Arabidopsis thaliana: one gene and its partners. The protein of the gene in region 1 interacts with the protein of each later gene in a pairwise test. Each region holds a gene or a part of one and is shown in the gene's direction. Other genes may lie near its edges. The genes, in order: IRX1, CHX6A and NRT1.8.

Region 1 (11,091 bases):
TTCTGAAGTACTCACTCAGATTTACCATGTTGTGAGCAAGAAAGCAATGGAGGCTGGTGAAGATTCCGGTAATGTTCCTTCGAAAGGAGAGAAGATCGATGTTGATGTTTCCGCAGTGAAGAAAACTGGTTGCTGCTCCAACTAAATGGTCTTATGTCCTAAAGCTGAAATCGGTTTTTAAATTTTACATTCAAATTTTGTTTTTGAAGATGTTTGCTTTTTTTTAGGAAAACAAACTATGTTATGCCTTTTGATTTGCTTGTTTGAAAATTGCTTAGCTTTGGTCTGATTCTGTACCGGTTAAGGGATTTTGTAATTTAACCGGTTCTGGTCTATGGTTTGTTTTTAATTCAATCCGCAAATATCTCTAAACCAATATTTATTGTGCTAATCCTTGAACACAACTAATTTTTGTTATACCAATTTAGAAAATTTTCGTCAAAAAAATAGAGATCACAATTCAGTTTCTAATAATAGAAACTTTTAATAACAGTTCATTTTTAGAATTTGCTTTTGTTTTCTCATTTGACTATTCTTGACTTTAATTTTAATTTTATCAAAATAATCCATGTAATCTTTTAAAATTTTCTTAAAACAAATCACGTCGTCAGTAACGCCGAAAGAATATTCCGTTACTAAGATGACGGGATCCACCGTTTCCCGCCAAGAAAACAGCCCTAAGAGACCAAACGACAGTAACGGCGAATTCAAACGTCTATTAGTTCCCGAAACCTCTCAGCCAGAGGAGGACGAGCTTCACGAATCGCCACCGGAGAATCAGATCCTGAACGTAGAAGAAGACAGAGACAAAACCTACGATTCAGTTCCGCCATTCTCATGGGCAAAGCTATGGAAATTCACCGGACCTGGATTTCTCATGAGCATCGCGTTTCTAGATCCAGGAAATATCGAAGGAGATTTACAAGCCGGAGCTGTGGCTGGTTACTCTCTCCTATGGCTTCTTCTATGGGCGACGCTAATGGGACTTCTGATGCAGCTTCTCTCTGCTCGTATCGGTGTCGCCACGGGTCGACATTTAGCGGAGATTTGTCGAAGTGAGTATCCTTCGTGGGCGCGAATCTTGCTTTGGTTCATGGCGGAGGTTGCTTTGATCGGAGCTGATATTCAAGAAGTCATCGGAAGCGCGATCGCTCTTCAGATTTTGACTCGAGGGTTTTTACCTATTTGGGTTGGTGTTATCATCACATCATTTGATTGGTAAGCAAAACTAGGTCTTTGGCTTAGAACGCCTTTAGGATCACCTGAGTTATTAAAAAACAAAATAGGTCTTTTTGCGGTGTTGTTTGTAACACAAGTTTTGATTTGTGTTGTTTGTGAAAAAACAGCTTCTTGATTTCGTATTTGGAGAAATGTGGAATGAGGAAATTAGAAGGTCTTTTCGCGGTTTTGATTGCGACAATGGCGCTTTCGTTCGCTTGGATGTTTAATGAAACTAAGCCAAGTGTTGAAGAACTATTCATAGGTAAGTTTGTAAGATTAAGCATTGTCTCTTATTTGATGTCATTTCTTGATTTGGTTTTATCTTGATGATGATTTTGAAAGGTATTATTATTCCGAAACTCGGATCAAAGACGATTAGAGAAGCTGTTGGAGTTGTGGGATGTGTAATAACGCCTCACAATGTGTTCTTGCATTCAGCTTTAGTGCAGTCTAGGAAGACGGATCCAAAGGAGATAAACAGAGTTCAAGAAGCTCTTAACTACTATACAATCGAATCGTCAGCCGCGCTTTTTGTTTCGTTCATGATCAATTTGTTTGTAACTGCGGTTTTCGCGAAAGGGTTTTATGGAACCAAACAAGCTGATAGTATAGGACTGGTTAACGCGGGATATTACCTACAAGAGAAATATGGCGGTGGTGTTTTCCCGATACTATACATTTGGGGGATTGGTTTATTAGCTGCTGGACAAAGCAGTACTATAACCGGGACTTATGCTGGACAGTTTATAATGGAAGGGTTCTTAGATCTTCAAATGGAACAATGGCTATCAGCTTTTATAACGAGAAGCTTTGCTATTGTACCTACTATGTTTGTTGCTATTATGTTTAACACATCCGAGGGCTCGCTCGATGTTTTAAACGAATGGCTTAACATTCTTCAGTCGATGCAGATTCCTTTCGCGGTTATTCCTCTTTTGACTATGGTTTCTAATGAACATATCATGGGTGTCTTCAAGATCGGACCTTCGCTTGAGGTAAAGCAATTTTTTGTCATCTCTCTTTATTGTTATGTGCTTTTGATTGTAACGAGTTAGTTGGGATCTTTGCAGAAGCTAGCTTGGACTGTGGCGGTGTTTGTGATGATGATAAATGGGTATCTTCTTCTAGATTTCTTCATGGCTGAAGTGGAAGGGTTTCTTGTTGGGTTTCTGGTTTTTGGTGGAGTAGTTGGATACATCAGTTTCATCATCTATCTTGTTTCTTATAGAAGCTCACAATCTTCTTCCTGGTCGAGTTTAGAAATGTCAGAGAGAGTTGTTTCCACAGAGACGTAGAAACCCATAACTTTAGTATTCTTCAACCCTTACAACTTATCTGAGCAAAATCAGAAGGTCGAATTTGATGGATGGTTTTGCTGTATTTGGTCAACGGTTTTATTTGAGACAGTAGACCAGAGGAAACTCAGATGTGATGATGCAAAGACTGAATTGGTTAAGAGTGTAGATTGATTTGTTCTAACATTGCAAATGTAGAGTAGAATTATGCAAAAAACGTTAATGAACAGAGAAGTGATTAAGCAGAAACAAAATTAGAGAAGTGATATTATATCTCAAAATTTATTTTTGGTACAGCTAAAGCTCAAATTGTTATAGAGATTAGAGATATTAAACCAAATGACGAGTGTTTTCTTTAGTAGTAAACGGTGAAAATTCTCTTCTGACAAAGACAATTAAAATTTTAGGTTTAAGACTTTAATATTTGTCACAAATTGTCATTTACCTAAATAAAAAAAAAACTAAATATTTTTTTTAGATACATATGTGTCTTATAATTTTAACTATAAATTTTAATTTTATGTCTTAAATAATTGTTTACACTATAAATTTAAATATTTTAATGCTAAAATTAATTTGATTCAAAAAAGTGATTTTAATTCTTATTTTTCTTATAGAAAGTTGGTGATTGAAAAGATTTACTTAAAAATTATAACAACTTCAATGGTGAATAACCCGACCCGAATAAACCGGATATAACAACTTCAATGTTAGCTTGATATAGAAAGTACGGTGACGCTTAGGAGGCAAGCAAGCTAGTATCTGCCGCTGGTTAGAGACAAAGAACATGTGTCACTCCTCTCAACTAAAACTTTCCTTCACTTTCCCGCAAAATCATTTCAAAAAAGCTCCAAATTTAGCTTACCCATCAGCTTTCTCAGAAAACCAGTGAAAGAAACTTCTCAACTTCCGATTTTTCACAATCCACCAAACTTTTTTTAATAACTTTTTTTCCTCTTATTACAAAACCTCCACTCTCATGGCTTCTCAAACTTGTTATCCATCCAAATCTCAATCCCTAATTAGGGTTCATTTCTCTGTTTCTCCAAACAGGGGAATTCGAAGATGATGGAGTCTAGGTCTCCCATCTGCAACACTTGTGGTGAAGAGATTGGTGTAAAATCAAACGGAGAGTTCTTTGTGGCTTGTCATGAGTGTAGTTTCCCGATCTGCAAAGCTTGTCTTGAGTATGAATTCAAAGAAGGTCGAAGAATTTGCTTGCGTTGCGGCAATCCTTACGATGGTACAATTATAAATTTACAAACTTTATTCGAAAGTTTGATTTTTTGGTTAAAGAGTATTTATAACTTGTTTTGTTTTGTTTTGCTTTCATAGAGAATGTGTTTGATGATGTTGAGACAAAGACATCTAAAACTCAATCCATTGTTCCAACACAGACCAATAACACTTCTCAGGTTTGTGTGCTTAGCTAAGATTAGTTGCTTTTATGTCTTAATTAGATTTTACAAATTTGAGAACATTATCTTGACTTTTTCAGGATTCAGGGATTCATGCTAGACATATAAGTACAGTCTCAACAATAGACAGTGGTAAGAACTAAGAAACAAAGCCAAAATCTTTGTATACATTTGGTGAGGTTATTAATAGTTTAACTAACTTGGGGATTGTTGTTTCTTCCTGAAGAACTGAATGATGAATATGGCAATCCAATTTGGAAGAACAGAGTGGAGAGCTGGAAAGACAAGAAAGACAAGAAGAGCAAGAAGAAGAAGAAAGATCCAAAAGCAACAAAAGCTGAACAACATGAGGCTCAGATTCCTACCCAACAGCACATGGAAGATACGCCACCGTAAGCACATCCTCGTACTAATCTAATAACATTCACCAAAAAGTTTGAGACGTTGATTTGGTCTCTGCCGTTTGTATTCTCAGGAACACAGAATCTGGTGCTACAGATGTGCTTTCGGTTGTGATTCCTATCCCAAGGACAAAAATCACTTCATATAGGATTGTCATCATCATGCGGTTGATCATCTTGGCTCTGTTTTTTAACTACCGTATCACGCATCCTGTCGATAGCGCTTACGGTTTATGGCTAACATCTGTGATATGTGAGATTTGGTTTGCTGTTTCTTGGGTGTTGGATCAGTTCCCTAAATGGTCTCCTATTAACCGAGAAACTTACATCGACCGGTTATCCGCAAGGTTACAAATGTTTTATAACCGTTATATGCTTAATCTGCGCAGTTACTACCAATCTTTAAGTTTTATGAAACCATTTATCAAAACTATGCAGATTCGAAAGAGAAGGCGAGCAATCACAGCTTGCAGCTGTAGATTTCTTTGTTAGTACGGTAGATCCATTAAAGGAGCCACCTTTGATAACTGCAAACACGGTTCTTTCGATCCTCGCGCTTGATTATCCGGTGGATAAAGTCTCTTGCTATGTATCTGATGATGGTGCTGCAATGCTTTCGTTTGAGTCTTTGGTTGAGACAGCAGATTTTGCTAGGAAATGGGTACCTTTCTGCAAAAAGTACTCCATCGAGCCACGAGCTCCCGAGTTTTACTTCTCGCTTAAAATCGATTACTTGAGGGATAAAGTTCAACCTTCTTTTGTGAAAGAACGTAGAGCCATGAAAGTAAGTAAGCAAGGGCTTTAAAACCTTAAATTAATCTCATATAGCGTTAACCGATGATTGAATCGAAAACTTAATGTCTAATTTCTCTTCTTGTAGAGAGATTATGAAGAGTTTAAAATAAGAATGAATGCTTTAGTCGCCAAGGCTCAAAAGACACCAGAAGAAGGATGGACAATGCAAGATGGAACATCTTGGCCCGGGAACAACACTCGTGACCATCCCGGGATGATTCAGGTTTGCTAGCTAAAACATTTGACCTGAAATGCTCTGTCTTTTCTTGTTAGTCACGTAATTTCTTTCTTGCAGGTTTTTCTTGGATATAGCGGTGCTCGCGACATTGAAGGAAATGAACTTCCAAGATTAGTTTACGTCTCTAGAGAGAAGAGACCTGGTTATCAGCATCACAAAAAGGCCGGGGCAGAGAACGCATTGGTAAACTTCAAAACTTTTTCTTTTATCGTTCAATTTAGCACAATCCTAATGATTTTGTTCTTTGTAGGTGAGGGTGTCTGCGGTTTTAACGAATGCTCCATTCATTCTTAACCTTGATTGTGATCACTACGTCAACAATAGCAAAGCCGTGCGTGAAGCAATGTGCTTTTTAATGGATCCTGTTGTTGGTCAAGACGTTTGCTTTGTTCAGTTCCCACAGAGATTTGATGGAATCGACAAGAGTGATCGATATGCTAACCGCAACATTGTTTTCTTCGATGTAAGTTATCTCATACTCATAACTTCAAGCAAAGTTTTGAGATTTCTTATGATATTTTGTGGTTTTGATATGATGTTTTCAGGTTAATATGAGAGGGCTTGATGGGATTCAAGGTCCAGTTTATGTTGGTACAGGTACTGTCTTTAGAAGACAAGCACTTTACGGATACAGTCCACCTTCAAAACCGAGGATTTTACCGCAATCTTCATCATCGTCGTGTTGCTGTCTAACCAAGAAGAAACAACCTCAAGATCCTTCCGAGATTTACAAAGATGCAAAGCGAGAAGAACTTGATGCTGCAATCTTTAATCTTGGGGACCTAGACAACTACGATGAGTACGACAGATCGATGCTGATTTCACAAACAAGCTTTGAGAAAACGTTTGGTCTCTCTACGGTTTTCATCGAGTCTACTCTTATGGAGAATGGCGGTGTTCCCGACTCTGTAAACCCGTCAACGCTCATCAAAGAAGCTATTCATGTCATTAGCTGTGGATACGAAGAGAAAACTGAATGGGGAAAAGAAGTAAGTGCCTTGTTTCTTCATATCAAAGTTCTCTTGTGAGTACATTTTATAACCTTTCGTTCTGTTTTCGCAGATAGGATGGATTTACGGGTCGATCACCGAAGACATTTTGACGGGTTTCAAGATGCATTGTCGTGGATGGAGGTCGATTTACTGTATGCCATTAAGACCAGCATTTAAAGGATCTGCTCCAATCAATCTATCAGATAGGCTTCACCAGGTTCTACGTTGGGCTCTTGGCTCGGTTGAGATCTTCCTTAGCCGACATTGTCCTTTGTGGTACGGTTGCAGCGGAGGCCGCCTCAAGTTGCTCCAGAGATTAGCTTATATAAACACTATTGTCTACCCATTCACTTCTTTGCCTCTTGTTGCTTACTGTACTCTTCCAGCTATTTGCCTTCTTACCGGCAAATTTATCATCCCAACGGTAACTTTTTCATACTACTAATTACTTTGGTTAGGTTACAGCAAGATTGAGAATTTGATCTTTGTTTCTGTTCTTTATTGCAGCTATCAAACCTAGCAAGCATGCTGTTTCTAGGTCTCTTTATATCAATCATCTTAACGAGTGTCCTCGAGCTTCGATGGAGCGGAGTCAGTATCGAAGACTTATGGAGAAACGAACAGTTTTGGGTTATTGGAGGTGTCTCAGCTCATCTCTTTGCCGTTTTCCAAGGATTCCTCAAAATGCTCGCTGGTCTCGACACAAATTTCACAGTCACATCGAAAACCGCAGATGATTTAGAATTCGGTGAGCTTTACATTGTCAAATGGACAACTCTCTTGATCCCTCCGACGTCACTTCTTATAATCAACTTGGTCGGAGTTGTTGCTGGATTCTCTGACGCTCTTAACAAAGGTTATGAAGCTTGGGGACCTTTGTTTGGGAAGGTATTTTTCGCCTTTTGGGTGATTCTTCATCTTTATCCATTCCTCAAAGGTCTTATGGGAAGACAAAACAGAACACCTACTATTGTTATTCTCTGGTCTATCTTGCTTGCTTCTGTGTTTTCACTTGTTTGGGTTCGTATCAATCCTTTCGTCTCCAAAACCGATACGACTTCCCTTTCTCTGAACTGTCTTTTGATCGATTGCTAAGAGAAGATACGTTATGTTTGTATTTTGAAAGATTGATCATATGTGTTTTGGTTGTTTTATAAATTTTCATATGGTTGCTTGAGCCACAAGTTAAGTAATGTTCTTATTTTAGCAACAAGTCTTGGCGGGTTCCGCAAGTTAGGTTTCTATTGTTTCAACATCAACATGTTTTTAAAAAGCAAAATATTTTATATCTTTTCAAATTATTGAAGTTTGGTGGAATCTGTCTCGTATAAAAAGACAAACAAAAAACAACAAAACTGAAACAAGCAGAATAAAAAATACAAATCAGAGTCCATGAACAAAAGCATCAATGTCAGGCTGAGGAATGTCATCAAGCAAAGAGTCAATGCTACATCCTTCCTCAAGCAGCTTCTCATTGAATCCAAAATCATCAGTAAACACACATTCAGGCACAATCCTGTCTTGTCCATACACCTCCTCTTCCTTCTTCTTCTCCTCAACCGCAACAACAACATCCTTCTTCTTGTTATTACTCTCTCTGCGTCTACCTCTTGCAGGAACAGAAGAAGCCATCAAAGCTCCCATATTCAAGCTCTTGATGTAATCCTGCAACAGAGAAGGTCTTGGATACTTAGATCTACATTTTCTTTTAGAGAATTGTCTTCTTTTTGTTGCGTTCCAATGGTTCTTGATCGAGTTCTCTGTTCTTCCCGGGAGTCTTTTCGCAATCTCTGCCCATTTGTTTCCAATCTCTTTGTGAAATTCTATCAACACTCTGTCCTCTTCTTCACTCCATGTTTCTTTCTGCAACAATCTTTATCTTTTAGGTTCCATAATCATCAATACATGATCTTATAGCTACTAGTAAAATACCTTAATGTCAGGTCTCAAATGGTTATGCCACCTCTCTCTACATTGTTTCCCGATTCTTCCCGGTAACACTTGAGCGATATGCGACCATTTACGCAATCCATACTTCTCCACGAGTTGAATCAGTACCCTATATTATCCAAAACAAGAAAACTTCATTTACAAGCAAAAACGGGTGACTATAGTAAAAACCTCTAGAATAGTGTAATCATCAAAAGTCTTGATTATGTTAATTGATTCTTGAGGTTTCTTGTGTTAATAACGAACCTGTCTTCTTCAGCAGTCCATTGTCCTTTGACTAAGGTTGACTTTTTGGTTTCTTTCCATGATGATGATGAAGAAGAAGAAGACAACTTTCGTGTAAGAAATGGTTTGGTCTTGTTGAAACTTGTTGCTCTATAACAATCATTATCTGCAGAAACACATGAAATTTCATCTGGCATTACGAAGTTCATAGGTTTGAAAGTCTCTGTAGGAGGGTAATCAAAAGGGATCATCCTCATCATCATCATGTTGTTTTGCTCCAAGTCCATAGGATCATCATGTTCATCGACCAAATTGATCTCTTGATGATGATGATGATTACGAGTGAAGTATGAGTTTTCCACTGCTTGGAAATGATGATGATTCATCAAATTTGGTTTAGTTTCATAGAAATCGACCATGTTTTCTTGGTAAGAGCAATGCTCGAAAGGAGCATTATTGATACAAGAAGACGTAGTTTGGACGCTGAGCAAAGGATGTGAAGATGAGGAGCCATGATGATGATGATGATCAAACTGATGATCATGATCAAGATGGTGAAAATCTTGAAGAAAGCTTGTAGGTTTTGATTGGTCGACGACTTCGAATGGAAAATCTTCTTCTTTCATGTGTTCTTGATCACGTGTGAAGATGTTTTGGTTTAGAGAAGCAAAACCATTCTCGTCGACGAAATTCTCCATTGTTTTGGAAAGGAGAAAAAAAAAACTAATTAATTAGTAAAAAAAAAAAAGTGAAGTCTTTTTCCGATTTTGTGTTAGCTTTGTTCTTTCTCGTATTTGTAAGGTAGGAGAAGAAAGAAAAGACATTTAATGTGTGTTTTTACTATACCCATAAATTTGTTATGGATTGAAATCTAACGTTTGTAGTTTGTTGGTAGCATTAGTGTGATTTTGTATATATTAAATTAATTAATTATTTTTTTAAATTATTTCTTAAATGCTTAGCCATTTTTGTGTTTTTCTTAAATCATATCTCAACATGAAAGTGAGGTAAAATTAAGAAAATTAATTTCGAAGTTAGTTTACAATGAGATTTTTTTTTTTTTTTATCCTAGTTAGATTTTTAGAGGTATTACTAAAAATAGTTCAAATTAATTATTTCTTTTAACATATTTTGATAGAAATATAATTAGATTGAAAATCAAGTTAGAAAATGTGAGATAATAATCTTTGTTGACGTTACACATTAGGTGTTGTTGAATTTGGGGTAAACATAGTTGAATGTTTGTGAAAACGCTAGTATGAATTAAATCTAGTTTTTAATGTGTAAATGACTCATTTATTGTATATTTAGTTGTCTTTAGTTAATTTATCATAAAGTGTAGTATTAATTTAGTCAACAAAAATGTAATTACCATTTTAAATGCCGAAGGACAATGAGTGTATTGACCATATTAGCTCTAAGGTCTAATTTTCATTTTGTTCACTCCGTCTTCTAGAAGTAAACCCTCACAAAAAGTCTCTGACCAAAGTGAAACAAAAAAAAAACTCAAAAACCGCATCGTTTATAACAAAGTGTTAACAGTGTGACTCTAATGGTGTTTCTTGCAGTGTACAACTTCTTAGTTCTTTAGTTCATGCATGTATTTCTTTTTTCTGCCTAAATCTGAGTTCTGTCCGAAAACTTTTTAAAAGACCTCCCTTATTAATTCATGTATGGGGGTTACAAAAAAATATGATTCCTATGATATTCTTCTTGTCCCCACCTCAATGCATAAGGACTGGACTAATGCTAATATCGATGAACTATTTACAAAAGCAAAATCAATGGAGTCTTAGATTACACGATCAAATCCAGGGCAGAGCATAAAATCATCCTGGTGAAATAACATTTGGTAATATACCTTATTTATACACTTCTTTATAGAGTTTTGAATGGTTACAATGACATAGAGAAAATGTAAAGCAAATAAATTGATTATGGTTGGTACATGTCGAATAATGAGTTTTAAAAGGTTGTTTACATTTGTCAAAGTTTCTAACACATAGCAAAAAAACAACAAAAGAATCTCTATCCATAACAACCAAAGTTGAACTAAAAAGCCAAAAACATAGTTAAATACTAAATGCAACAAAATAAGAGTTCATATAGAAGAAAAGAAGAAGATTAGAATAAGGTCAAAATCGTAATTAAACCAAAAACAGAAGGCTAAAAGTATACAAAACCCAACTGTCACATGACCCATCTTTGAAAAATCCAATCTTTCTCTTCCTTCTTCTTCTCTTTCTCTCTTTTACTTTCTCTGACACTATCCTTCTCTTTCTCAATCTCTCTCTCTCTCTCTTCACCATGAAACCTCCGTCGTTACCGTTACTCCTCCTCCTCCTCCACCTCTCAGCCACTATCTCCGCCGCTCCTTCCCTCTCTCCAACTCCATCTCCAACCACCTCTCCCATTCCACCTCACAAACCTTCCTCATCCTCTTCCCCATTAGACCCAAAACAACTCAAAGCCCTTGAATCTCTCAACATCCCCACCGTCAAAGATCCTTGCAACCACCGTCCCACCACCAAATCCACCTCCTCCTCCGTCGTAACC
Region 2 (10,585 bases), on another chromosome or scaffold:
TCATCATAACCAGTCCGTGGCTCACAAAAATATCTCTCCTTTCAAGCAACGTCCTAAGAACGAGACTAGGATTGAGACGCAGCTTGTGTCCCACAATGTGGCACTGTCTAAGTTCAATGCCAGGGACTTAAGGGCTGAAAAATCAAAAGGGACGATCGAAATGGAAGTGTATATAACGGCTAGAGTGAGCTACAAGACGTGGATTTTCCGGTCGAGAAGACGTACGTTGAAGGCTGTGTGTACGCCGGTAATGATCAACGTTACATCAAGCTCGTTGGATGGATTCCAGAGAGTGTTATGCAAAACTCGTCTTTAGTTTGATTTATCCTCATCTTGAATTGGTTTCATTTGTGTGCAAAATTTGCTATATGTGACATTGATTGATTGTGTGTGTGTTTTTCCTTTTTAAATTTCCTCTTTGGTTTTGTTCTTTTCTGCCAGTCATTCCATTTCTCTTTTCTTTTCATCATTAATTATTATATTTTTTATTTTTTTGGGCTTAAAATGCTTTACATTTTTATTGCTCTGTAAGTGATTCGATTTTTATTTCTAATAATATATGACGATTTAATAACTTCATCAAGATTTTTATAACGTAAGATTACATGCAAAATCCGTATATGTCGGGATCTCTAACAAAACTTGGATAGACACAAATTGATGGAGGTTCTTAAATAAGCAGAGAGGTAAAACAAACATATAAATTAGTCGCCAGGTACGTAAACAGACAGTTAACAACAACAAGATAAAAAAAAAAAATAGAGAGAGACAAAGATTATCAACTATTTTTAGTAGTGTTAATTTCTTCTAATAAGACAATGTAACACCAAGATTTTGTAATTTTTTCTGGAAACTGTAAATCTCTTTCTCTTGATCTTTTTCTTCTCTTGAGAAGAAAAAGAATCTAGGAGAAATGGAGTCGCGTAACGAGGCATATGAGGGGGCATACAACGCAACCTTCTGGGGGGATTTCTCATATCATGGATATGGCTTTAGTGAAGACGGGTCCAAGTTCTGCGAACAAATACCGATTCTTGTGAACTCTTTTGGCGTGTGGGAGAAGCTAGATTTACCTATACGCGGGATGAAGATATGGGACTACAGTCTTCCCCATCTCGAGAGCGTAATCGTCCTAGTTCTCTGTTTATGGCAGTTTTTTTATTTATCCCTAAAGAAGATAGGCCTCCCTGTGCCAAAGATCACCTCCATGATGATTGTAAGAACCCTTTCTTCCTCTTTTGTTCTTTTGTATAAAAGTTGTTTGCATTGACTGATTGATCGGAAAATTATGTTGAAGGCCGGGGCAGCTTTGAGCCAAACGAATCTTTTGCCGAATGACTGGACGATCCAGCACATTTTATTCCCGGATGATACTAGGCCAAAAGTGCCTGAGACGCTAGGTGGGTTCGCTTTTGTCTTTTATTGGTTCATCGAAGGTGTTAAAATGGATGTTGGGATGGTTAGGAAGACAGGTACGAAAGTGATTGTAACAGGAATTGCCACTGTTATTCTCCCCATTATCGCGGCCAACATGGTGTTTGGTAAGCTAAGAGAGACCGGGGGGAAATACTTGACAGGAATGGAGTACAGAACAATTTTATTCATGCAGAGCATCTCGGCATTCACGGGTATCTCAAGGCTATTAAGGGATCTCCGGATCAACCACTCAGAGTTCGGCAGGATCGTGATTTCGACCGCTATGGTGGCGGATGGAACGGGTTTTGGTGTTAATCTATTTGCCCTTGTGGCTTGGATGGACTGGAGGGTTTCTGCGCTGCAAGGCGTAGGAATTATCGGATATGTCATATTCATGGTTTGGGTTGTGAGACCGGCCATGTTTTGGGTGATCAAACGGACACCACAAGAGAGACCGGTGAAGGAATGCTTCATCTACATCATACTCATTTTAGCCTTCGGTGGTTACTACTTTTTGAAGGAAATTCACATGTTTCCGGCTGTTGGACCCTTCCTTTTGGGTTTGTGTGTGCCTCACGGTCCTCCTCTAGGGTCTCAACTGGTAGAAAAGTTTGAAAGCTTTAACACTGGAATCCTTTTGCCACTTTTCTTGTTCTTCTCAATGCTGCAAATCGATGGACCTTGGTTAGCTAACCAGATCGGTCAACTAAGGCATTTTGACGGTCAGTTGTATGAAGCCTTGACCATCATCATCGTTGTCTTTGTCGCCAAGATTATCTTCTCAATGATTCCTGCATTGCTAGCCAAAATGCCTCTGACCGACTCTTTCGTTATGGCACTCATCCTCAGCAACAAAGGAATTGTTGAGCTGTGTTATTTTCTGTATGGAGTTGAAAGCAATGTGAGTTCCCATATTTAACTTTATATTCAAGACAATTCAACTCTCCAACACTTAATGTTTTTTTTTTTCTTTCTGTCTTATAAGATTATTTTGTTGTGTTACAGGTTCTTCATGTGAAGTCCTTCACGATTATGGCAACGATGATTTTAGTGAGCTCTACGATATCACCAGTGTTGATACATTACCTATATGATTCGTCAAAACGATTCATTAGTTTCCAGAAGCGGAATCTAATGAGCTTGAAGCTTGGATCAGAGCTGAAGTTTCTAGTGTGCATTCACAAAGCAGACCACATCTCAGGGATGATCAACCTTCTAGCACAGTCTTTTCCTCTACATGAATCCACAATAAGTTGCTACGTGATTCACCTCGTCGAGCTTGTGGGTTTAGACAATCCAGTCTTTATCTCCCACCAAATGCAAAAAGCCGAACCTGGAAACCGGTCTTATTCAAACAACGTCCTAATCGCTTTTGATAACTTCAAACATTACTGGAAATCGATATCGCTGGAATTGTTCACATGCATCTCAAACCCTAGGTACATGCATCAAGAGATTTACTCGCTCGCTCTCGACAAACAAGCTTCTTTTCTCATGCTCCCTTTCCACATTATATGGTCCCTTGACCAGACAACGGTGGTCTCAGACGATGTCATGCGTAGGAACGCTAACTTAAATGTCTTGAGACAAGCACCTTGCTCCGTGGGGATCTTTGTCCATCGTCAAAAGCTTTTATCTGCGCAAAAGAGCAGTCCGTCTTTTGAGGTAACACATATTTGAAGGTTTGATTGTTCCATACGCTAATCATTAGTTTCCGTGCTTGAATTTGTGTTTACGTGTGAAACTTGATTTGTCTAAAACCAGGTCTGCGCAATTTTCGTGGGCGGGAAAGACGACAGAGAAGCCTTGGCATTGGGAAGGCAAATGATGAGGAATCCGAATGTGAACCTGACAGTGTTGAAGCTAATCCCAGCGAAAATGGATGGGATGACTACAGGGTGGGATCAGATGCTGGACTCGGCAGAGGTTAAGGAGGTTCTGAGGAACAATAACAATACTGTTGGACAACATAGTTTTGTGGAATACGTAGAGGAGACAGTTAACGACGGTTCCGACACATCAACACTCCTTCTCTCGATTGCTAATTCTTTTGATTTATTCGTGGTGGGGAGGAGCGCCGGAGTAGGGACCGACGTGGTGAGTGCATTGAGTGAGTGGACGGAGTTTGATGAGTTAGGTGTGATTGGAGATCTGTTGGTGTCTCAAGATTTTCCCCGTAGAGGGTCGGTGTTGGTGGTGCAACAACAACAGAATGTAGCTTGTAGATGATATTACATTGGCAACTACTCTTTATTCATTTATAAGATACAAAAAATAGAAATACACTTCTCACACGAGACACATTTGTAGCCCCAAATTTTTAAGTGACAGTTCGTCTCCGTGGCCTTGTGATGATAACATTTGCAAATATGACTTTAAATTTAATTGATTCCACATAATTTTTTAAAAACAATGAAATCAGAAAAAAATAGTACATGTTTTATAATTAAATTAACATTCAATGTGAGAGTTACATCTATTTACATGTTTTACAAGTTTTAATCTCCTTTTCGCTATACAATAAAGAAAAACGGCAAAAATAAGCAAACTAGACAAATAAATTACATAGCAAATTAGTATATAGTCTTAAAAGACCTACTTGCCACCAATTTGATCATTAAAAATGATGAGAATTTCACGCACGTAGTATACATTCAATGAAATTACCCAATTAAAACCTTTAGAGGAATCTATTACCAACCAATAGGAATTGAGTTCAAAATGGTTTGTAGGTGATTTACACTTGTTCTCATTTCTTTATAGTCTTAAGACCACAAATACGACTAGCCAATGAATATTTAATGCCTAACTACTTGGAAGAATCTTAATCCTGTGATTATGCTTTACGTATACGTAGGGTTCAAGCATTAATTAGTAATTTTGAATTTGGAGAAATTTTATAAGAGAGTAATTTGGTATCCTGACCTAGGTACAATATTCTTTAGTTTATATTGTTATTTATCTTACCCTGCCTTGATTAGTAAGACTCTTTTAGTATCCATTTTCCTTTGCTATATTATTTGGTTTAATTTGCATGCTTAGCTGTTTGAATGACTTAATTTGTATGGTGATTTTAAAGTATAAGTTCCTATTTCACCAAACATAGAAAAAATTGTCAAAACAAAAATATATATATCCCTGAGAAAGTGTGCAAGTGGATGCAAAATTCCCTAAATATATATCGTTATATGTATAGCTTTGGCGTTGTTGATTGGTGAAATAGACGATGTACAATCATACGTGTGCTAATGTTGACAAGGAACAAGAGATGGAGAAGAATGAAGCTATAAAAAGAAAACAAAATGGGTAAATATTAACTGTACCTGAGATGCGTATCTGTTGTTTGCTGGTTATTCGACCTTAATTAGTCAACGTTTATAACAAAACCATCCCTAGTCTTCTTCTTTCCCAATCGAATTACAAACCCTAAATCATTCCATTAGATCTTCTTGATCCCTAAGCAAGTCTCTTCGTTAACTTTTGTCTTTCTCCTTAAAATGGCTACAGAGGAGATAGACATGAGTTATTGGGACGTGTCATGGGGAGAATTCAATGAAGACAAGAACTCGTCTATCTTCTGCGAGTCACACCCTCACATAGTAAATTCGCACGGGATATGGGAGGTTATGACTTTCAAGAGAGGGATGAACTTCTGGGAATATCCGCTCCCGAATCTCGAGATCTTAATCTTTTCTACTTTTTTTATATGGCGGCTTCTCGACATCTCATTCAACAAAATTGGTCTTCGAGTACCTAGATTCACATATATGATGATCGTGAGTTTTCTTAATCTCCCTCTTCCCTCCACGTTTTAAATTTTAAAATCAGTACGGTGCATATTCCTAAACGTTGTAATGCCTTGTTGTTGAAGGCAGGGATAATTTTAGGTCAAACTTGCCATTTCAGCAACAAGTCTTGGATCCATGACATTTTTTTCCCTGATGATAACCGACCAAAGGTGGCCGAGACCCTAGGGGCTTTCGGCTTCGTTTTATATTGGTTCCTCAAAGGTGTGACCATGGATGCCGAATTGCCATTTAGGACGGAGAAAAGGTCTAGTGTGATCGGATTCATTACAGTAATTATACCCTTGATTTGTGGCAGCCTCACTTTTAGATATAGAGAACGAAGAGGGGACTCAAGCATATTAAGGATGGAATACAGGTTGATCATATTCTTGCAAAGCATATCCGCGTTCACGAGCATCGACACACTCCTAAAAGACCTCCAGATCAAACACTCAGAGTTTGGGAGGATAGCCCTCTCTGGGGCTATGGTGACTGACATGTTGGCTTTTGGTGTAACATTTTTTAATGCAATCTACTACGAAAAATTGTACGGCTTCATGCAAACCGTAGGTTTCTGCCTCTTTGTCGTCGTTATGATATGCGTTGTGCGGCCGGCTATGTATTGGGTGATCAAGCAGACTCCAGAAGGGAGGCCGGTCAAGGATTTCTACCTCTACTCGATTTTTGGGATTGCTTTCGCCTGCTTCACTTTTTTTAACAAGGTTATTCATCTTTTTGGACCCGCGGGATCATTTGTTTTCGGCTTGACGGTTCCAAATGGATATCCTTTAGGTACTACTTTGATTCAAAAGTTTGAGAGCTTTAATCTTGGCTCTATTTTGCCACTCTTTGGATCATTAACCATGATGCAAGTAGATCTCTTACGGTTGTTCAAAGAGAGTGGAGATTTAATACGGATGGAGGGTCAAATCTATGAGGTCATTTCCTTTATTCTTTTGGTGAATACCACAAAATTCGTTGTTACCACCATAACCGCGTATGCTTTTAAAATGCCCTTGAGAGACTCTTTTGCTTTAGCCCTTGTGCTTAGTAATAAGGGGATCTTCGAGCTCGCCTACTACACGTACGCGGTTGAATTAAAGGTGCGTACAATTAAACTCTTCTATATATATTTAAAGTCAGAAGAATTAGTTTATTTTCATAAAAATTAATCAAATCTTTGGACATGTTTCACAGCTAATAAGGCCAGAGGTTTTCACAATCCTAGCTGCCTACACCCTCTTGAACTCTATCTTTATACCAATGCTCTTGGAGCTCGTGCATGACCCAACCAAAAGATTCAGATGCTACCGAAAAAGGAATTTGGGCATCTTGAAAGACGGTGCGGCTCTCCAATGTCTTATGTGCGTCTACAGACCTGATCACATAACTTCCATGACCGACCTCTTGGAAACTTTTAGCCCATCACAAGATTCCCCAATGGCGTGTAACATACTTCACCTCGTCGAGCTTGTGGGTCAAGCCAATCCTATGTTCATTTCCCACCAGTTGCAAAAACCAGAGCCCGGAAGTACTTCTCTGTCTGACAATGTCATAATCTCCTTCCGTGGCTTCCAAAGACAATTCTTTGAATACACATCGTTGGATATTTTCACTTCCGTCTCCGTGTCCCAACACATGCATGAGGACATTTGTTGGCTAGCCCTATCCAGAAGCCTATCTTTGATTGTGCTTCCTTTCCACCGAACCTGGTCCGTTGATCGATCCACGGTTATCTCCAACGATGATAATCTGAGAATGCTCAACGTTAACGTCCTGAGACGAGCCCCATGCTCTGTTGGAATCTTCGTCTATCGCAAGCCCATCGTTGAATCTCATATGGCTAAGTCCCACAGCAAGGTGCTTTTCATTTTATTTTGAAAACTAATTAATTATCCGTTTGGGTACGTGAAAATACAAATTTCAGAATTTTATAAAATCTAAAAGAATATTTTTGCAACGTCTAAATGAAATTAAATGCTGAAAGAAAATCTTTTCATTTTCCTTTACCATTTATGATGAACAAAAGAAATGGTACTAATATATTAGCATTTTTAACCTGATAAAACTCTCATCTTTGCAGATATGTTTGATTTTTAACGGTGGAAAAGACGATAGAGAAGCTTTGGCGATAACAAATCGAATGAGACTGACAGAAAAACGAACAAGGCTAACGATCATAAGATTCATTCCAAAATCTTCTGAAATGGATAACGATGAGTGGGAGCAACAGCAATCGATTAACCTAAAGGAGTCCGTGACTAGCATCGTTGGGTCCAACATCAAAGAAAATGATGCCAAGGTGACATATATCGATAAGGCGGTTTCTGATGGATCTGAGACCTCAAGAATCTTACGAGCAATGGCAAATGATTATGACTTGTTTATCGTTGGAAGCGGCAGCGGAATAGGAACTGAGGCTACTAGCGGAATTAGTGAATGGACAGAGTTCAATGAATTGGGACCTATTGGAGATTTATTAGCATCACATGAATATCCTTCAAGTGCATCAGTGTTGGTTGTTCAAAAACAAGTGTACATTCATCATACAAAAAGCCAAAGGAGAAAATCTTTCTAAGAAATAATGCGAGATATGTTCAATGCTCAGCTTTTCAATGTTGTATTTCTCTACATCAATAAACATTAGTTTTAGGCTGCTTGAAGTTATGGAGTAATTGATTCGAGTTTCTTCTGGATATGATGATATAAACTTCACGATTTTTTTAATCAAATTTTGAGTTAACAAGATTAGAGTAATTTCTTGTGGCAGTGCCTGCTCTATGATAACGCCTTCCAACTATAGCTGCCTTTGTTATCACAATTCAAAAATATATATTCTCTTGTAGTAACAGGGTCTGTTTAACATACACACTTTGTCACGTTATAATTAAGTTTAGTATGTGTTAGAGATATCAGAGGGAACAGAGCAAAATACTCTGTTTTTCTCAACAAAAAGAGATTTTGGTACCTAACAGAGTACTCTGCTCTGTTCCCTTTGATAAAAGATTGAATTTGAGGTCTTAATTAATGGATCATCTTATTAAAAATGGGTAAAGCGTTTATTTAGACTGCCTAAAGAGGTCATTTTATTTTAAAGTAATACAACTTACAAGCGCCAAAAACAAAGACAACACCTGGACGAGACAATCCCTATATTTATACCCTTATCCTAATTTTAGAGATCCTTTGGGATCTGTGTGAAACCATCAGACCGGTTTTAATTTTAGTTCTTTTTTTGACTGCAAAATCTTTTCATTGTCAATTTTTTTTTTTGTTCTTTTTGGTTTTACGTAGACAAGATTTGTCCCAAATGGATGCAGAAAATGCGACTTGGCGCAAAGAGTTCATGTGGAACAACGATGAGAAAAGAGCAGAGATGGGGACGAAGATGTTTTGCGATGTAAGTCCACATATAATGTTGAACTCACATGGCGTTGCAGAGAAAATGGCTTCCGGATCTAAGGGAATGGATTTTTGGGAGTACCCTCTTCCACAATTGGAGATCATTATTCTCTCCATATTCCTATTATGGCGTTTATTTGATATGTTGTTCAAGAAGTTAGGTGTTCCTATCCCCAAGTTCACCTCCATGATGCTTGTACGTAATTACGGGTTTCAAATATCCGCATGTCATTGGGGATGTTCGAATAATATAACACATTTTCTTTTCTTGTTCTTGAAGGTCGGAGCAGTCTTAAGTGAGATGTTTGGATCTATGCAAATACCATGTTTAAAGCATATATTTATCCATTATAACCAGTATATGACAAAGGTTCCTGATACTATAGGCGCATTTGCTTTTGTCCTAGATTGGTTTCTAAGGGGAGTGACTACAGATGTTGGAATAATGAAAAAGTCAGGAACTAAGAGTGTTGTAATTGGGATCACCTCAATGATCATCCCATGGCAAATAGGAAAACTCCTTTATTCATCTAGAGAGAAATCAAGTATTCTGACCATGACAGAAATGGAGTATACCGTAATGACATTCACAATGAGCATGACGCCTTTCACTTGCGTCAACATGTTGCTTACTGACCTCAAGATAGTTCACACTGATTTCGGCCAAATAGCTCAGTCAGCGGGAATGGTAACAGATTTGCTTGCCTTTTTCTTGACTGTATCGGCTTACGTTAGCCGTGATGAAACTCAAGGAGTGAAAATGGGATTAGCTTTTATGGCATTCTTTATTTTTGTGTACCTTGTGCGACAATTTATGCTTTGGGTTATAAGACATACGCCAGAAGGAGCCCCGGTGAAGAACGTCTATCTCTACATTGGTCTCTTGCTTGCTTACTTATCTTATCTTTATTGGAGCCGCTTCTTATTCTTCGGACCGCTAGGGGCATTTGCTCTTGGTTTGGCTGTCCCTAACGGGCCGCCATTAGGATCAGTATTTATACAAAAATTCGATAGCTTCAACGAGGGCATTTTTTTACCCCTCTTTGGATCACTTAGCATGATCAAACTAGATTGGTCATTTCTACGAAAGGAGTTTGGAAATGGAAGGCATCTCCATGGACATATGTACGAGTGTTTTTCCTTCCTTCCCATCGTATACATAGCGAAATTCGCTACTTCGTTTTTAGCCGCCTTAGCTACAAAGATACCTTTGAGAGACTCAATTATCCTAGGTGTCATTATGGGCACCAAGAGTAGTTTCGAGTTGGGTTACGTACTTACAGCCTTCGAAAAAGACGTAAGAATATTTTAGCTATACTCATATAACGGATATGATGATCATCTTAATTTGTATATATATTTCTGTTTTAATGTTTCTCATTTTTAACAGAGGATTAGTCTGGAGGTCTTGTCGCTCCTGGGCGTATACATTCTCGTAAACTCTTTGTTAACACCAATGGCTATACATTTCCTGTATGACCGGTCTAAGAGATTTGTGTGTTACGGAAGAAGAAACTTGAAAGAGAAGCCAGAAATGCAAACGCTGGTGTGCATCAACAAGCCTGACAACATAACATCGATGATTAGCCTTCTTAGAGCAACTTCCCCATCTAAAGACTCTCCAATGGAATGTTGTGTTCTTCACCTAATAGAGTTATTGGGTCAAGCTACTCCCACGTTTATCTCCCACCAGCTTCAAAAACCAAAGCCTGGAAGTCGGTCTTATTCCGAAAATGTCATAAGCTCTTTCCAACTGTTTCAAGAGGTTTATTGGGACTCCGCTTCCATAAACATGTTCACGTCTTTAACTTCCGCTAAAGAGATGCATGAACAAATATGTTGGTTTGCTCTTAGTCAAGGTTCCAATCTTATTCTCCTCTCGTTTCACCGCACTTGGGAGCCTAACGGAAATGTCATTATCTCAGACGATCAAACCCTAAGAAGTCTTAATCTTAATGTTCTGAAACGCGCCCCTTGTT
Region 3 (9,731 bases), 1.2 Mb from region 1:
TTAATTCATCTTCTTCTTATCCTTTTTTTGTCAACTCTTTTCTTATCCTTTCAGAGTTCAGAGACTACAGATCAAACAAGAAAACTAAATACATATATGCATGTGCATTTAAACTTTAAACAATGAGCAAGTGATGGTTTTTTAGTTACGTGGATCAAGATGCATGAGGTGGACAATTATAAGCTCCCATGTTGATGATAAGCACAAGGACGTTGATTTCGTGTCACATAATTAAGGTCTACCCTAAACCATATGATTTTACATATATATATATATATATATATATATATATATTCATTCCAGCTAATCTCCAAATTGCTCAAAATTACCACTTTCATCTTTCTCTACAATATTTTATCTGACAACTGCATAGTGGAGATATAGAAATTTAAAACTTGTAGCTTTTACACAAAACTTATGAAATAATTTATTATTGCCTTTAATAATTCTCTGTCCAGAAAATTTTAGATTATTACTTTTCGTATGTTACACACAGTAAAATCGTACTTATACAATTCGTACGCTTAATAAATTTTGATCGTGTAGTCTAATGACTTATAATAGTATCATCGTTGTGTTTATATATCATCTTGATATAAATCCGATAGAATGAACATTTAAATGTAAAAAACTAAGTTTTTTCCTACAGATTTTAGAATTTGAATTTGTTTCGACTTTCTACTCGTGATTATATATATTCACCGAATGAAAACAACAATTAATGAAGTCGAGACGTCAGCCATTTTTTTTTATTCTTATCTTTGAAATCTATAAAACAGTACTTATCTATGGACTTCATAAACTACATATGTGTGAATGTTTAATATTGAACAAGTGGTTATTCTCAATTTTTAGCTCCAGTCACTAACGATAACCACAACAACGTCGTTTTTGCTTGATATAAGCTCTCTCTTATATCATTTGATTTTATTTTCATACATCTAATCTCCAAGTTGCTGGGAACAAAGTCTTTCATGTTTCGATAATTATATTAAATCTGTCCACAACACATGTACAAGCAAGTTCGTATATTATTCCAAATGACAGCTTATAACTCTTTCACAGCCCCATGATATTATAACGTACTATTTTGAACTACTCTGTGTAGAAAAGTTCAAGAACAAAATATTTTAATTATGTAGACCCTTTAAACCACGTCGTTTAGTTTTACGAAATCATCAATTAATGCTACTTTGTTTGTTATAGACTTAATAGTATTAAAAAGGTATGTTAGTCTTGCGATACAATTTTGTTGCTACCGTTTACACTTGAGATAATTATATGGTTTATGCGTACGGTAAATCTTTACATCTGATTAATGCATTATAATTCAGATTGATAATTAATAGACAAACCTTCTTCTGTTCTTCATAACAAGGGTTCTTATAAAAATTCTTATCATATATATGTGATATATGTCATGGCTTACCTAAGATCGGAAGGATATTCTAAGTAGCACTTAATGTCACTAGAGTCATCTCTAACTACAAAATATTCAAACAATGTGGAAAATAAGAAAGTTAAATAAAATAACTGAGAAGCAACTTGCTTGGTTCGCTAGACTTTATGCAAATTGGGTTTATATATTCTGATAAAGTTGATAAGCGATATATAAAACGGGATAGATAATTGAAAGCGCTTATAATATATAGACCATGATGAGCGCTTGTCTTAATCCCGTGGTTTAACAACTAATTACATATTGATTACTTATTTAGAGAGCTGTTAGCCGAAATGCCAAATTGCAAATGCAAGCAAAGTTTGAGTTGTGGAATCAAAAGTCAAAGCTGCCACTTTTGTTCTTATCGTTCTTGCAGTTTCCACGTAGTAGCCGAGCACTTTAGTACAAGAGATATTTTTCTTTTAAAGATCGACCAAAATCGTAGTTGGTAACAAATATATAAATATGACGCCAGAAAAACTATACATTATACATTTATTTACATGGGAATTAACGTTGTACCATGTCAATGTGATATTTATTCTGAGAGTAATACTATACATTAATAGCAGAACGTATCGCATACTGGTTAATGTCAATTGTATTACACTATTCAAAATCAGATTTGCATGTTATTTAATCGTATTTATATAAAAAGGTTTACATTAAAAATGAAAACCATATTAACACTATATAAAAACTTAGCCTATTACTAGCTTAACTTTTTAGCCACAACATTAGTCAATTGAGGAATATTTTTTTTGCAAAAAGGTTAGTCTATAGAAATTTGATTTTTGAAGGTCGTTTTCGTTGGAAGACATAAAGCTTCTTGGTTGGGTGAATTTAAAAAATATTCAACGTATTTTTGGAGAACAGCTTGCAGACGACAACATCCTTCAAGTTGCCACTTGAATCCTCCTCAAATTGGCTGCTTAATTAGCATACCTCAAAATATATATCAATTAAAAAAGAACGTCACTTGTTAGTCTTTTTCACGAAATAATATATTACTATTTTTGTCGTTATATATAAGTTGGTGGTTGGCATTTTGTCTTATGGTCCACGTTAATTTCGTGAGAAGCCTTTAGCGTGTTTCTTTTGAGTTTTTTCTTTCATTTGTCAGCTCGAAAACAGGCGGAAATTAAACCAAATTATTATTACGTGTTCCTTAATATCGTGTTTTGTTTGTTTACAAGATATCGTATATGTGATCAACTTATTCTTGCTAACTTGTAATAATCTGTTCTAGTTATACTACCCACTTTATATCATTGCATTGAAGCGATGATGAATATGTCTTACATGAGCTTATGATATAGATTATATATATCCGGTATCTAACTAACCATTTTGAATAAATTTCCTTACTGATGTGGTGGGCAAAAAGTTTACGAGTCGGATTGGTTGGATCCGTGTTGGGTTATATTACATTATATCATATTCGCATTTTAAAAAAAATTTATTGGTTAGGCGTAAATTAACTTTTGATATATGATATAATCGCATAGTTATTCAAATGGTATAGTCCAAACTTTCCTTCCAATACAGCACAACCATTTACCATGTTCACATACAAGTATACGCATCACATACTTTACGTGATGATTTAGAGATATTTAGATATTAGTCTGATTTTAAGTTCAAAGACACGATAAACCAAATAGTTATATTACATCATTGAGACTTGTAAAGATTTCATGAACTAATTCTAATCATGAGAGTAAATAGACTTTAAATTGAAAAGTACTCTAATGAGAAGAGTAAATAAACTTAAGTGAAATATTTCATATATATACTGTAACTCTAAATCCTCAGGGAATCAGGAATTTATAACTCATATTTGAGTCCTATTAAAATAAGGTGTTGGATTTTGATTATATATTTTTATTTGTTGTTATGATTGAATTTTGATTTATGCAACACAAATATATATATAAAGAGAACGACTTTGTATTGCTTAGTAAATTGTCGTGGACAAATTGGATTTTAATCAGGCGATATTAACACTTCAACTGCCGATCATCCATATCAAAACCTAAATCAAGGTATGTCCGTTCAAAACTACCACTGTTCTACATTTAGTATTTAAACCTAAACATTTTTTTTTTTTAAACCTAAACTTGTTCTTAACCAAGATGCACGTAGTATCTTGTGAATGGTTAATTAACTTAATTTAGTAGGACGTAACAAAGTTATAGGACATTACTAGAAGTCTAGAACATAGTTCTTTCGTGATCATTAAAACTTCGATCCAAATTTTTTTGACACAATGTGTATTAATTTAGATTGTTCGATTCAGATTTAGGTCTAACTTTCTTAGGTAAAAAAGCTGGAATTTGTAAATATCCCCAAGCTTCAATGAATCTAGACATTAATTCGACAGATAAGATTTGCGTAAAATACTATAGAAGATTTAGATGTATTTCATATTTTCACTTATCTAGGTTTCATAATTAACCAATCAGCGAATTGGTATAAATTAAAGTTTGGATTGCCAAATACCAAACATGTTTGTATTTATCCATCCAAATATGAAATCAAATATAATCCTATTTTTGAAAGATAAACAATTCTGTTCACAAAAAAAAATCAGAAAGAAAGATAAAAACATAGTATATGTGAGACACAGAAAAGGATCTAACACAACAAAAAGAAAATTACCAAAACGTATCAAAGATTTAGACTTAAATTAGGGCTTAAACATGGATTAAGAATAGAACCAATTATAATATAAGTTAGGAGTGAGGAAAGTCGTAATCGAATACAGCTACACACGAGCGTAGCGTGCTTGAAAGAGACACCAAATCCTGTTTTAGTGGGGAACTTTCTTACTTTCACTTTTTCCCCTCTTTTTTTTTTCCTATTTAAGAACAATTATTTGGGGTTTTTACTCTTTTTATTTTCCCTCATGTTTTTTGATTTTATCAGTCTCTTCCAGCAGCCCTCCAGGTGTAACTGGTCACACATTCGCTTGGCTTACCTTTAACCAGGTGTTTCTCCTTCTTCATAGATTTTAGGGATGCCAATTTTCAATACTACGTTTTAAGTTCCTATACCGTAATTTATGGTTTTATTCGCATATAACAGTGGCATTTCCGTTTTTTTCCCACAAAGTCAGATTCTCTTCAAATTAAAATTTTTACATAACTACTTTTCGTATTAAATAAATATTTTAGAACGAAAAAGATCATTTAGATTTATCTCTTTTAATTTTTATTCATAAAAACTAGTTAAAAAATTAAAATAGCATATGATTATTATTGAGATAACAAAATTCTGTCGAGAAAAATCCACCGAACATATATTTTAGCAGCCCGTTTCAAAACCTTTACAATTAAATTGATTAAATTAAACACCATAGAAAGAAAGAGACGTCAAAGAAAGGATCTCTTCTGAGTTCTCTGACTCAATTTCTGAGCTCTCTATAAATATAAGCTCTCTTCTTCACACTTTTAATGCAACTCTCAATATCACTATTAAATATCTTTCTCTTTTCACTTCTTCACTTTCCTCGATTCCTGAGTTTTCGATCCTTTTGTTCTCTAACCACCGGTTTCCTCTTTAACCGGTCTCTGGATAATCATCATAATCATTAGGATCATCAAGATAAGGAATCTTTTTGAGTATATCTCTACACCAAATCGAATCTATGGATCAAAAAGTTAGACAGTTTGAGGTTTGCACTCAAGACGGTAGCGTTGATCGTCACGGCAATCCAGCTATCCGAGCTAATACCGGCAAATGGCTCACTGCTATTCTCATTCTAGGTAATGATTCTCTCTCTCTTTCTCTCTATATATACCACTGTTCTTTGTCTTAAAGTGTTGTGTTTTGGATTCTAAAGAAATGGGTTTTTGGTTGATATAGTGAATCAAGGACTAGCTACGCTTGCGTTCTTCGGTGTAGGAGTGAATTTGGTTCTGTTTCTGACTCGAGTGATGGGACAAGACAATGCAGAAGCGGCTAATAATGTTAGTAAATGGACAGGAACTGTCTATATCTTCTCTTTGCTTGGTGCTTTCCTCAGTGACTCTTATTGGGGACGTTACAAGACTTGTGCTATCTTTCAAGCAAGTTTCGTTGCAGTAAGTGTCTTCAACACTGCTCTGTCTTTTTCTAGGGTTTGTTTCTTTAACAATAAGTTAACATGTTTTAATGGATTATAGGGGTTGATGATGTTATCTTTATCTACTGGTGCGTTATTGCTTGAACCAAGTGGTTGTGGAGTTGAAGATTCGCCGTGTAAGCCTCATTCGACGTTTAAGACGGTTCTGTTTTATCTGTCGGTGTATCTAATCGCGTTAGGGTATGGTGGTTATCAGCCGAACATAGCTACTTTTGGAGCTGATCAGTTTGATGCGGAGGATTCCGTTGAAGGACACTCGAAAATCGCGTTTTTCAGTTACTTTTACTTGGCTCTGAATCTTGGATCGCTCTTCTCAAATACTGTCTTGGGTTACTTTGAGGATCAAGGGGAATGGCCGCTTGGATTTTGGGCGTCTGCTGGCTCTGCTTTTGCGGGGTTAGTGCTTTTCTTGATTGGCACGCCAAAGTACCGACACTTTACGCCTAGAGAGAGTCCTTGGTCTAGATTCTGCCAAGTGTTGGTTGCTGCAACAAGAAAGGCTAAGATTGATGTGCACCATGAAGAGTTGAATCTCTATGATTCTGAGACTCAATACACTGGAGATAAGAAGATTCTTCATACCAAAGGCTTCAGGTAAGATAACCAATTAAAAGTTCTGTTATAATCTCAGAAACCATCGTCAAGATCAGTGTTAACTCTCTCTCTATTATTTTCTACAGATTCTTGGATAGAGCTGCTATTGTTACACCTGATGATGAGGCTGAGAAAGTAGAGAGCGGATCGAAATACGATCCATGGAGGCTCTGCTCGGTGACTCAAGTCGAAGAAGTGAAATGTGTATTAAGACTCTTACCAATCTGGCTCTGCACCATCCTCTACTCTGTGGTTTTCACCCAAATGGCTTCACTGTTCGTTGTGCAAGGAGCAGCGATGAAGACAAACATCAAAAACTTCCGGATTCCAGCTTCAAGCATGTCTAGTTTCGACATTCTCAGTGTCGCCTTCTTCATCTTCGCATACAGGCGGTTTCTTGATCCACTCTTTGCAAGACTTAACAAAACAGAACGCAACAAAGGTCTCACTGAGCTTCAGAGGATGGGGATTGGGCTTGTGATTGCGATAATGGCGATGATTTCCGCAGGAATCGTAGAGATACACAGACTGAAAAATAAGGAACCGGAAAGTGCTACTTCGATCTCAAGCTCCAGCACTTTGAGCATTTTTTGGCAAGTACCTCAGTACATGTTGATAGGTGCATCAGAAGTGTTCATGTACGTTGGTCAACTCGAGTTCTTCAACAGCCAAGCACCAACCGGGCTAAAGAGCTTTGCAAGCGCGCTATGTATGGCTTCAATATCTCTTGGGAACTATGTAAGCAGTTTGTTAGTTTCCATTGTCATGAAGATCTCTACAACAGATGATGTGCATGGCTGGATTCCTGAAAATCTCAACAAAGGACACTTGGAGAGATTCTACTTCCTTTTAGCTGGTCTAACCGCTGCTGATTTCGTGGTTTACTTGATTTGTGCCAAATGGTACAAGTATATTAAATCTGAAGCAAGTTTCTCTGAGTCCGTAACTGAAGAGGAGGAAGTCTGAGTCAGGAGCTAGAGAGTTTTGTGTTTTATTTTAATGCTGTGAAGCTTTTTACAGTAATTTGTTTAAAGCTGAGCTTGTTCTGTGATATAAACTGGTCTTATTGTGTTTTTATTTTTGGGTTATACTCTTGTGCAAAGTTTAGTTGATGTTTCTCAATAAAGGATAAGTTGATTCCACAGTTCCAACACATAGTTTATGTAACTTTTCTCATAACCTTTGAATCAGTCAAAACCTAAACACTTACTAGTAGAACAGTAAAAATTTACAATATTAAATCAAGCTCTTAATGTTGTAGTGAAAACAAGGACTGTTAACTATGGAAACTGCAGAAAAAGCTTTGTGGAAACTTAACAGCCTGAGAACAAGCTAAACGTTCATCCTTAGGTCTTATCTTTGTGGCCACTCGAGCTGATGCTTCAACTCAAGAGTTTCTATGATACAAAAATCGCGAACCGCCTCAAATTGTTGTTACATCAATACAAGAGAGGCAACTCTCGCTGTCTTGATCATCATTTGGCGAAGAAAGGAACTTGACAAAGAATTCGTCTTGGTAGCTGTTTTTACCAAGAGAATGGAATTAATGTAGAATGTGGTTCGTTCTTCACATGGTTTTATTTTTAAGAGTATCTTCCCGAAGATGGCATCCGTTGCAGAGACCGTTGAAAGTCCGGCTTTAATCGCTTGTTTGACATCCCACCAAATGATCTAAACATCAACAAGAAACCGGTTTTTAAAATATATCAACTGACATTTTTATTTTGATAATCATATAGATATAGTCAAGAACAAACCGTGGAGATCCTTGTCGTTTATGCAGAGGTTGACCAAGCATTGATCTCACACTGGACAGTGCTCTCTCAGCAGCCTAAAGGTAAGAACGTCAGAGAAGGGAAAAGATGGGATCAGAATAAACCCGAGGCAAGAATTTAGTTGAGTTACCTGCATTCTAGCTTCGTCCCATGTCGATCCAACTCCTTCCCCTACAACACGCCCATCTATTTCAACCTGAAATATATTACAAAGAGTATCAAGAGGGGTCTACACTCTAGATACTTCAAACCAATTGAATAGATATGAAATATACTGATGGCCCTGAAGAGAAAATCATGAATCTTTCTCTTTTAACTGAAAATTGTCTATCTTAGATTTTTTTTTTAAAAAATTTAACACTTCTGTGTTCTAATCTTTTAGGGGTGCGAACCTGAGCATGTAATTCATCTCTGTGGACCATGTCAGATGGAAGCTGACGCTGAGATTGAAAAGCCATCTCAAGACCCTCCGATGCACACTGGAATTTGGTTACAGATGAATCAAAGATGAGAAAAAACAATATGTGAATGTAAGCAAGCAACCATATCAATCAACAGTATCCGCACTAAGGAGATACATACCAATTCCCTGAGTGCAGTAATGGAGCCAGTGTGCCTCATAGAACCTTCTAATCTCGGATCTGTAGGTCTAGAAGAAACTGGCAACGCTGTTTCATCTCTAGCAAATGGCTGATTATTAAGCGCATTTGCGTTTCCCATACTTATATTTTCATTGGTGAAGGGGGTAGCATCTCTGTGGCTGGGCCCTGGGTCACCATTTGCACGCATATATCCATCTGCAAAAAAAGGAGTAAGAACTCAAGAAACTGGAAACAAACGAACAACAATGAGTTTAAAGCCTCATTATAAGAACAATGTGAATGAAGCCGACCAATATTAAACCTGAGCCAACTGCCACAAATCCAAGATAGCTCTCACCCTTGTAAAGGGAAGGGACCCACAGTTTTGATATCATAACATACTGACACGCAACCGTTTGTGGTGGCAGTACTCATACTCATTGATATAAACCCATTTATGAGGACCAACACGAAGCTACAATAGATCTATTAATATTACAGACTAAACAGATTGGTTGAAAAATTGAGATCTACACCCAATATTGTGAAGATGGTTTAGAAACATCAAACAAATAACATTCACCCAATATAGCAGATTCAAACAATCTATCTCAAATAGTATCTCTGCAGACAAAGATTAAGACACGAGTAAATCATGAGTCAGAAAGTCTTACCAGCTAAATTCTGTATAGAAGCTTCAGCAGCCTTATGCAGGGCTTCTCTTCTCGATTTGCCAATCCCTTCTCCAATTTTTTGATTAGAAAGCCAAGCCTGCAAAAAAAACATAGATTTAATGTACAGTTGACACAATCAACAAAGTAACCTCACTCAAAGGAAATATAGGATCTCAAAGAGCATAAGGTTCCACCAAAATTACTGACACCATACAAACAGATACGTCTAAGAGCAATACGTACCTCAACAGAGAACCGCAAATCTGTACTAGAAACTAAACTTGGTTTGTACTCCACCTACAATGTCATGGAATAATAACACATCAACTCACGTATGGAATTAATGGTAATCATGATGATATTTACATACCTTAGCTCCACATTTGATAGCAATTCCGTGTAGAACATCAGCTGAAGTCTCCGTTGCTGAGACACTTCGTTCAGGTAGGAAGTCAAGATCACTGTTCCTAGAGGAAGATTGATTCCAAGACGCATCCTCCCCTAGAGAGTCCATCCCAATACCCAAGTCAGTGATTTATC

Evidence for each region.
Region 2: the proteins of IRX1 (region 1) and CHX6A interact in a protein complementation assay, tested with the Arabidopsis thaliana proteins (one large-scale study listed by BioGRID).
Region 3: the proteins of IRX1 (region 1) and NRT1.8 interact in a protein complementation assay, tested with the Arabidopsis thaliana proteins (one large-scale study listed by BioGRID).

Annotation. Positions count from the first base shown.
Region 1 is NC_003075.7:10,309,210-10,320,300, reverse strand, and holds IRX1 (cellulose synthase family protein), read left to right. Parts: upstream 1-3,414; 5' UTR 3,415-3,581; coding exon 3,582-3,759; intron 3,760-3,851; coding exon 3,852-3,931; intron 3,932-4,014; coding exon 4,015-4,066; intron 4,067-4,160; coding exon 4,161-4,326; intron 4,327-4,409; coding exon 4,410-4,682; intron 4,683-4,773; coding exon 4,774-5,119; intron 5,120-5,215; coding exon 5,216-5,353; intron 5,354-5,425; coding exon 5,426-5,551; intron 5,552-5,618; coding exon 5,619-5,831; intron 5,832-5,913; coding exon 5,914-6,357; intron 6,358-6,430; coding exon 6,431-6,784; intron 6,785-6,867; coding exon 6,868-7,455; 3' UTR 7,456-7,677; downstream 7,678-11,091. Other genes in the region: RABA1d (RAB GTPase homolog A1D), read left to right, coding at 1-145; NRAMP5 (NRAMP metal ion transporter family protein), read left to right, coding at 641-1,218, 1,347-1,483, 1,564-2,216, 2,292-2,516; MYB98 (myb domain protein 98), read right to left, coding at 7,744-8,223, 8,293-8,419, 8,557-9,233; RLP51 (receptor like protein 51), read left to right, coding at 10,843-11,091.
Region 2 is NC_003070.9:2,549,403-2,559,987, reverse strand, and holds CHX6A (cation/H+ exchanger 6A), read left to right. Parts: upstream 1-4,758; 5' UTR 4,759-4,913; coding exon 4,914-5,192; intron 5,193-5,287; coding exon 5,288-6,307; intron 6,308-6,401; coding exon 6,402-7,064; intron 7,065-7,287; coding exon 7,288-7,782; 3' UTR 7,783-8,053; downstream 8,054-10,585. Other genes in the region: AT1G08160 (Late embryogenesis abundant (LEA) hydroxyproline-rich glycoprotein family), read left to right, coding at 1-316; ATCHX5 (Cation/hydrogen exchanger family protein), read left to right, coding at 914-1,216, 1,298-2,317, 2,422-3,081, 3,181-3,645; CHX6B (cation/H+ exchanger 6B), read left to right, coding at 8,515-8,802, 8,887-9,903, 9,997-10,585. UniProt on the Arabidopsis thaliana protein: May operate as a cation/H(+) antiporter.
Region 3 is NC_003075.7:11,514,936-11,524,666, reverse strand, and holds NRT1.8 (NITRATE TRANSPORTER 1.8), read left to right. Parts: upstream 1-4,861; 5' UTR 4,862-5,090; coding exon 5,091-5,208; intron 5,209-5,308; coding exon 5,309-5,526; intron 5,527-5,607; coding exon 5,608-6,161; intron 6,162-6,247; coding exon 6,248-7,127; 3' UTR 7,128-7,314; downstream 7,315-9,731. Other genes in the region: CPL1 (C-terminal domain phosphatase-like 1), read right to left, coding at 7,745-7,832, 7,919-7,992, 8,067-8,132, 8,329-8,415, 8,519-8,733, 9,192-9,288, 9,435-9,488, 9,562-9,692. UniProt on the Arabidopsis thaliana protein: Low-affinity nitrate transporter. Involved in nitrate removal from xylem sap. Not involved in oligopeptides transport.